2 linked regions of the Callithrix jacchus genome follow. The protein of the gene in region 1 interacts with the protein of each later gene in a pairwise test. Links are inferred from orthologs where the notes say so. Each region holds a gene or a part of one and is shown in the gene's direction. Other genes may lie near its edges.

Evidence for each region. The genes of interacting proteins can lie anywhere in the genome.
Region 2: the proteins of NIPBL (region 1) and MAU2 interact in binary tests that used the Homo sapiens proteins (3 or more experiments, as listed by UniProt). The link is inferred for Callithrix jacchus from reciprocal best matches to the Homo sapiens genes NIPBL and MAU2.

Annotation. Positions count from the first base shown.
Region 1 is NC_133503.1:168,571,131-168,574,778, reverse strand, and holds part of NIPBL (nipped-B-like protein), read left to right. Parts: intron 1-457; coding exon 458-601; intron 602-3,182; coding exon 3,183-3,272; intron 3,273-3,648. UniProt on the Homo sapiens protein: Plays an important role in the loading of the cohesin complex on to DNA. Forms a heterodimeric complex (also known as cohesin loading complex) with MAU2/SCC4 which mediates the loading of the cohesin complex onto chromatin.
Region 2 is NC_133523.1:18,018,842-18,022,489, forward strand, and holds part of MAU2 (MAU2 chromatid cohesion factor homolog), read left to right. Parts: intron 1-880; coding exon 881-908; intron 909-1,266; coding exon 1,267-1,422; intron 1,423-2,544; coding exon 2,545-2,691; intron 2,692-2,778; coding exon 2,779-2,869; intron 2,870-3,648. UniProt on the Homo sapiens protein: Plays an important role in the loading of the cohesin complex on to DNA. Forms a heterodimeric complex (also known as cohesin loading complex) with NIPBL/SCC2 which mediates the loading of the cohesin complex onto chromatin.

The DNA of each region.
Region 1 (3,648 bases):
ATGTAATGCAGTAGGTAAATGCAAAGAAATATTGTGACTTCTCTTTATTTTTAAACTACATTTCAACTTGCACAATACACACTGTTACAAAACTTCTGGGACCTTTTTGGGAACTGGAAAATATGTTAATACTATTCTGAAAGTATGATAAAGTTTTACAGGCATCAGAATTACACCCTAAGAAATTCTTATTCAGTAATGCTACATTTTGTGCAAATACACAGTTGAGCCTGCGTATTTAAAAAGTTATGTTGTTCTTAAGGAAATTTAATCTGTAATTTCTTTAGTCACATGAAAATATTCAGATTACAGAGAATTAGAAGGCAAAAATTACTTTATGGGACAGAATCACAGGAAAAAAAAGTTTAAATTTTAAATGTACAATTTAGATTGGAAATTTATATGATAAATTGCTATTTAAGATATATTATAAATCAAAAACTATTTTGATATTTAGGTTCATCAGTTCAGTAACAAGTCAACAGAGATGGCTTTAAGAGTGGCATCTCTTGATTACCTTGGAACTGTTGCTGCCCGGCTGAGGAAAGATGCTGTTACAAGCAAAATGGATCAAGGATCTATAGAACGCATTTTAAAACAGGTACTAAGATAAAGGATTAAAATTATGGGAGTAAATAATAGTTATATTCTTTGGATGTCCTCACATTAGTTTCACATTTCATTTTGTAGATTCATAATAAAATTTTTACTTCCAAAAGTGGGCTTTTCAAAGCTCCAGTGAGAAATTTTAAGACCGGAGAATGAATTATTTAGTCTAACAGGGACTGGTTCATATAAATCTTCAGTTAGTTTCTTTTTGTGAAGTACTGTTAAATGTATAATGCAGGCCAGGTACAGTAGCTCATGCCTATAATTCTAGCACTTTGAGAGGCCAAGATGGGTGGATCACGAGGTCAAGATATCAAAACCATCCTGACCAACATGGTAAAACTCCGTCTCTACCAAACATACAAAAATTAACTGGGCATGGTGGTGAGTGCCTGTAGCCACAGCTACATGGTGGTGCGTGCTTGTACTCAAGCTAAGGCAAGAGAATTGCTTGAACCCGGGAGGTGGAGGTTGCAGTGAGCCAAGATCGCAACACTGCACTCCAGCCTGGTGACAGAGCAAGACTCTGTCTCAGAACAAAAAAAAAAATGTATAATGCTTTTTATGTTTGGGTTTACATAAAGTTTATTCAAATTTTTTTGTTGTTGATGCTTTTAAAGACAGAGTCTCACTCTGTCACTAGGCTGGAGTGCAGTGACAGGATTTTGGCTCTCTGCAACTCCACCTCCTGGGTTCAACTGATTCTTCTGCCTCAGCCTCCTGATTAGCTGGGTCTACAGGCATGTGCCACCACGCCCAGCTAATTTTTGTGTTTTTAGTAGAGTTGGGTTTTCACGATGTTGGCCAGGATGGTCTCGATCTCCTGACCTCATAATCTGCCCCGCTCAGCCTCCCAAAATGCTGAGATCACAGGTGTGAGCCAATGCACCCAGCCAAGGAGAGCTTCTTTATACTTTATTAGAGAGTTTTCATCGTGGAGGAAAAAGTGTTTTATTGCTTCTTCTTTTTTTTTTTAATGTGGACGAAGTGGTTAGTAATAAATTCCTTGAGAAAATTGGTGCGGAAATGATTTCTAATCCTACTATCTACAACTACTGTTTTCATTTTTTTTCTAGTCTTTTTTTATGTTCATAATCATATCCATGTTGGTAGAAATGCCTCTAATTTTTTTTTACTACGTGTTTTGAAATAATTTCAACCTTAGAGAAAAGTTGTAAGAACAGTACAAAGAACTCCCATAAATGCTTCTTGCAAATTTCTTAATTATTGATAATTTGTAAAATTTGCTTTATCATCTTTCAAAATGTAGATGTATGTGTGTCTGTATATGCATTTTTTTTTATTTTTTTCAAACCACTTGAAGTTAAGTTGCAGACGTGATTCCCTCATTACTCCTGAATTCTCTAATGTAGTGATTTTCAAAGTGTGATCCCCTTGACATGTAGCACCAACACTGAAATCATTTTGGAACTAACAAGTACATTTCTAACAAAAATACAAATTGTTACGACCCTCCCTGGACCTACTGAATCAAAAATTCTTCGTTTAAGAAGCCCTCGAGGTGATTCTAATGAATGAATGCTGAACTTGGAGAGCCACTGCTTAGTGTTTATTTCTGCAAACAAGAGCTCTCACTGAAATATCTATAGTACAATTATCAAAAGCAAAAAATTATCAGTATTATGTTAACGTAATATAATACCTACTCTAATAAATTATAATTTGTTGCTGTCATTATTTTAATGCTCAAATCATCCTAGATTTGATCAGTGAGAACCCTCTGAAGCTGGCTTTTAAGTCCCTTTGCTATGTTCCCATCATAATTTGAGTTTCTTTCTAGCACAAAAAGATGTTTCAGACAGATCTTTTACCTTCCCTACCCCAGCCCTGGGATCAGCTGTTTCTCCTAGGAATCTTGGTTCCTTTTATTGGTGAATTGTAATGTAGAAACCAAGATCCAGTTGCTGAATGACTTTTTGTATTTCTTAGAATGGGTCTGGAACCTCTTATTGCCATGTATGGCTATGTTGATTATCCACAAGGGGAAGAATCATTTGTCAATTTTTATGGCTCTCAACACGTATTTCCAAAAGCAAGTGCTTCCTACCTCTGAGGAATAACACATTGTTCTGATCATTTTTATGTCAGCTACCTATGAGCTCTTTAAAAAAAAAAAAAGACATGAAGGCAGGCCGGGCACAGTGGCTTACGCCTATAATCTCAGCACTTTGTGAGGCCAAGGAGGGTGGATCATTTGAGGTCAGGGGTTTGAGACCAGCCTGACCAACATGGTGAAACCCTGTCTCTACTAAAAATACAAAAATTAGCCGAGCGTGGTGGAGCACGCCTGGGGTCCCAGCTGCTAGGGAGGCTGAGGCAGCAGAATTGCTTTAACCCAGGAGGCAGAGGTTGCAGTGAGCCAAGATAGTGCAGACTTCACCTATCACTATATAATATTTTTCAGAAATATTTCTCTGTTTTTTCCTTTTAGTTACTGTGGTTGTGTTTTTATTTTTAGAATCAGTCTTTTCTCAGATTTGTGTTTAAAATTAGATGATTTATTAAAGTATACCAGTAATATCTTTTTTGTTCTTACTTGGTTTATTCTGTAGGTTTCAGGAGGGGAAGATGAAATCCAACAATTACAAAAAGCATTGCTTGATTACTTGGATGAAAATACTGAGACTGACCCTTCACTAGTGGTAGGATTCTTTTCCCCTTTTTTGGAGATATTACATGTTTATTTAAATTGGGTTTAAGAAAATTGGGAGGTAGCATGATGAAGAGGAAAAGTTGTTTGGAATATTGATTTTTGAAACAAAGGGATACTTGATAATCTAAAGAGAAAAAAATGCTTTGGGTTGATTTGTCTTATATAGAATTCTGGTTACAGATACTGCGCTGTACTAAAATTGTATGATAAGAGCAATATTTGGAAGTCTTTCCATAAGGGATCTTTGAGACTAGGCTAGGTCCTCAGAGTGAGTATGGGCCAAGTGGTACGTGAGATGATCTGTAATAAGCCTGTAAAAAGAAATTATTAGATTTTTATATGTATATTTTAATATAATTTTACTG
Region 2 (3,648 bases), on another chromosome or scaffold:
TAACATAGAAGGGGCTTGACCATCTTGGTCCAGGACAAAGAACAGAAATGGCATTTCAGGCCAGGTGCGATGGCTCACAGTATATTCCCAGCACTTTGAGAGGCCAAGGTAGGAGAATCACTTGAGCCCAGGAGTTCAAGACCAGCCTGGGCAACATAGTGAAATGCCATCTCTACAAAAAATATAAAAATTATGAGGTGCAGATTTGAGCCTGACATTCAAGCCTGCCCACTGGCCCCCACCCTCTGTGTCCATCACTGCCAAGTTTTTTTCTAGAGATAGGGTCTCACCATGTTGCCCAGGCTGGTCTCAAACTCCTGACCTCAAGTGATCCACCCATCTTGGCCTGCCAAAGTGCTGAGATTACAGGCATGAGTCATTGCACCCGGCCACCTTCTGGACTTTAGACATGAGTGCATCTAAGCCATTCAAGAAAAATAAATACAGGCTAGGTGTAGTAAATCACTTGAGGTCAGGAGTTCTAGACCAGCCTGGCCAACATGGTGAAACCCCATCTGTACTAAAAATAAAAAAACTAGCCAGATGTGGTGGCACATCCCTGTAGTCCCAGCTATTCAGGAGGCTGAGGCCGGAGAATCACTTGAACCCGGAAGGCAGAGGTTGCAGTGAACCAAGATTACACCACTGCCTGGGTGACAGAGCGAAACTCTGTCTAAAAAAAAAAAAAGAAATATAGATATAATAGGATAAAATAGAGCAGTCTTGTAAATATAACAAACTTCATCTGGGACTGTTCACTGTTGTCCACTGAACTGTCCCCCGAGGTGGCACATTAGGTCCTGTGAGCCTTGGGGCAGTCACAGTCATCCCAGGAGGCCCCTGGGTCTTCCGGGACCTGACCCCCGCCTCTGTTTTGCAGGGCGCTGTTCCTCCTCAGCAAGGGGATGGTAAGTTGAGGTTGGGCATGGCTGGATGCGGCTGGTGTTGTGGAGGTGAGGCAGGGCCCCCACAGAGTCTGCTCCGACCCCACTTGCTCTCCATGGCATCGCCCCTCAGGCACAGTGAGCAGCCTAGAGGGTGAGGCCCGGGCCTTGCAGGGTTCAGGAGGGAAGCTCAGGCTCCGCCCAGTGGGATTCATGCTGAGGCAGAATCCTAGTTAGGAGCTGTCTGGGCCGGGGTTTCAGGCTGGCCTTGCCCTCTGGGTTGGTGGCAGCAGTCCCAGGGCAGGTGGGCAGCCCCGTGCTCCTGGTCCAGGGAGGGCCCCTGCAAGCCACGCACCCCATGCCAGCACCTCTCCCTCCCCAGCTGCTGCTGATGGAGCGCAAACTGCAGGAGGTGCACCCACTGCTGACCCTCTGTGGGCAGATCGTGGAGAACTGGCAGGGGAACCCCATCCAGAAAGAGTCGCTGCGTGTCTTCTTCCTGGTGCTCCAGGTCACCCACTATCTGGATGCCGGGCAGGTGCGTGGCGCCTCTCGGGCGAGCTGCTGGTTGTGACCAGTGGGTATGGGTGGCACCCAGGCCAATGGGTCTTGGGCTGTGAGGTCAGCTGTGTTTGTCACACAGCAGGGCTGTCATTCCAGCCCCAGACACACACACTCTTGGCCTGCTCTGGTGCGAGTGCTGGCACCATTGTGCCTGCCTGGTGTGTTAGTGTGGTGCCTGCAAGCAAGGTCTATCCCGGCCACCCCACCCTTTGGGAGTATGATGTGTGACATTGCATATACTCACTCAGCATGTGGACGCTCAGAGATTCCAACTGCAGTTCAGGGAATCATGAGAATAAAGCATGGATGCACTGGGGTGGTGCCTGTACACAGCAGATGCTCAAGTGATATCTGTCTGGTCCCCCTGCTGTGGGGTTGAGCAGGGACTAATGTGCCCAGCCATGTCGAGACTGGACTCTGTGACCCTACTGTGGGTGGGGAACGGCTGTGTTTGAGCTCCTTGTCTCTGCTTGTATGACAGCCTTGACCCTTCAGGGGCTGGGAGCTGCTCTGTGCCCCTCAGACCTACCCCTCTTGCCATGGGCTGCAGGCAAGCCTCTCCACAGGGCTTGGTAAGGGGGTTCCCCAGTTCCCCCATCCATACCCATCATTGCCCATTGGGTGAAGCACTGCACTTGGCACATAGGGACACAGAGCAGACTGTAGCCACACTTCTCTTGGGGTGCCAAGGCTGCAGAGACGTCCCTCGGGGCTTCAGGACGAGATGGGTCAGTCTGTAAGAGCCACAGCGCCTGCGAGACTCCCACCCCCTGCAAAGCACTTGGGTCTGGCTGCAGGAAGGGCAAGAGCAGCTCCAGCAGGGTCTGGACAGGCCTCTCCTGGGCCTTGGTGTTGGGCCCAGCACTGGGCAGTGGACAAACTTCAGTCCCATAGCTGCCTGCCTGGCCCTGCCCCTGCCCTGACAGCCCAGCTGATCCATGGGAGTGCAGCGGGGGTGGGTCCATCTTGCAGGAGGTGGCCATGGCAGAAGGGGAAGGCAGGTGCTCCCTGGAGGAAGGGGCAGGGGTGGCTGGGCTGGGCCTGGCCTCCTGAGAGGCCAGGCTCAGGTGGGCACTCAGGTGTGGGTGCTGCGCAGGTAAAGAGCGTGAAGCCGTGTCTGAAGCAGCTGCAGCAGTGTATCCAGACCATCTCCACACTGCACGACGATGAGATCCTGCCCAGCAACCCCGCCGACCTCTTCCACTGGCTGCCCAAGGAGCACATGTGTGTGCTCGTCTACCTGGTGCGTCCTGCTAGGGCCAGGGCTGGGGGCGGGGGCAGGGAGAGGGAGAGGGCCCTGGTAACCCCTGCTGTCTGGTCTTGTCGCCAGGTGACTGTGATGCACTCCATGCAGGCAGGCTACCTGGAGAAGGCACAGAAGTACACGGACAAGGCTCTCATGCAGCTGGAGAAGCTCAAGAGTAAGTCAGGTGCTCGGTTGGCCACGTGGCCACAGTGCCCCCTGGCGGACGGCCTGGCCAGATGCCGGCTGTGCCAAGGCCCAGTGACCCTGTGTGACTGCGCTGCCTTGCCTGGTGGGTCTCGTCACCCCAGTTGATAAATGCTGGTGACCAACATCAGAGCAGAGCAGACTGGCCTGGGGTGGGAGGTACCCCCCTGAGTGGTCAGGGCCCTTGTACCCAGTTATGCTCAGTTGAAACAGGTGGTGGCTGCTTTTCCTGATTATTATCAATGTTGTGATGGGGACACTTGGGATGAGGCCAGGATTCGAATTCAGTCCTCACTGACCCCAGCATGTCCCTTGGAAGTCCTGAGTTCTTTCCAAATGCTCAACTGTCTAATCCGTTCAGGGATTTTGACTAGCACAAACCCAGAGCAGATGTCTCTGGCTGGTGCAGTGTGCCTGAAAGTCTGCCTGTTTGCACCCTCGAGAGTGCTGCTCAGGGAGAAGGCATCAGAGTCAAGCCAGCTTGGAGCCTGAGAGGCCTCTGCTGCTCTTTGTAATATTCCCATGTGAGGTTGGCTGCTTGGGGCTGCCAGGAGGTAGGGTCCGGCCCAGGTCCCCCCACCCCCTGCCTGAGGCTCTGTTGCATGTCTCATGATCCGGGGTGGTTTCCACATTTGTAGAACCTATTGTGTCCACAAGCTATTGAGCACATAGAGTGAGGGGTGAGGGTCAGAGCCAACCCCTCTTGGAACACTGTGGAAACCAACCTCTAGCTCCCGCTCCATTTTCTCA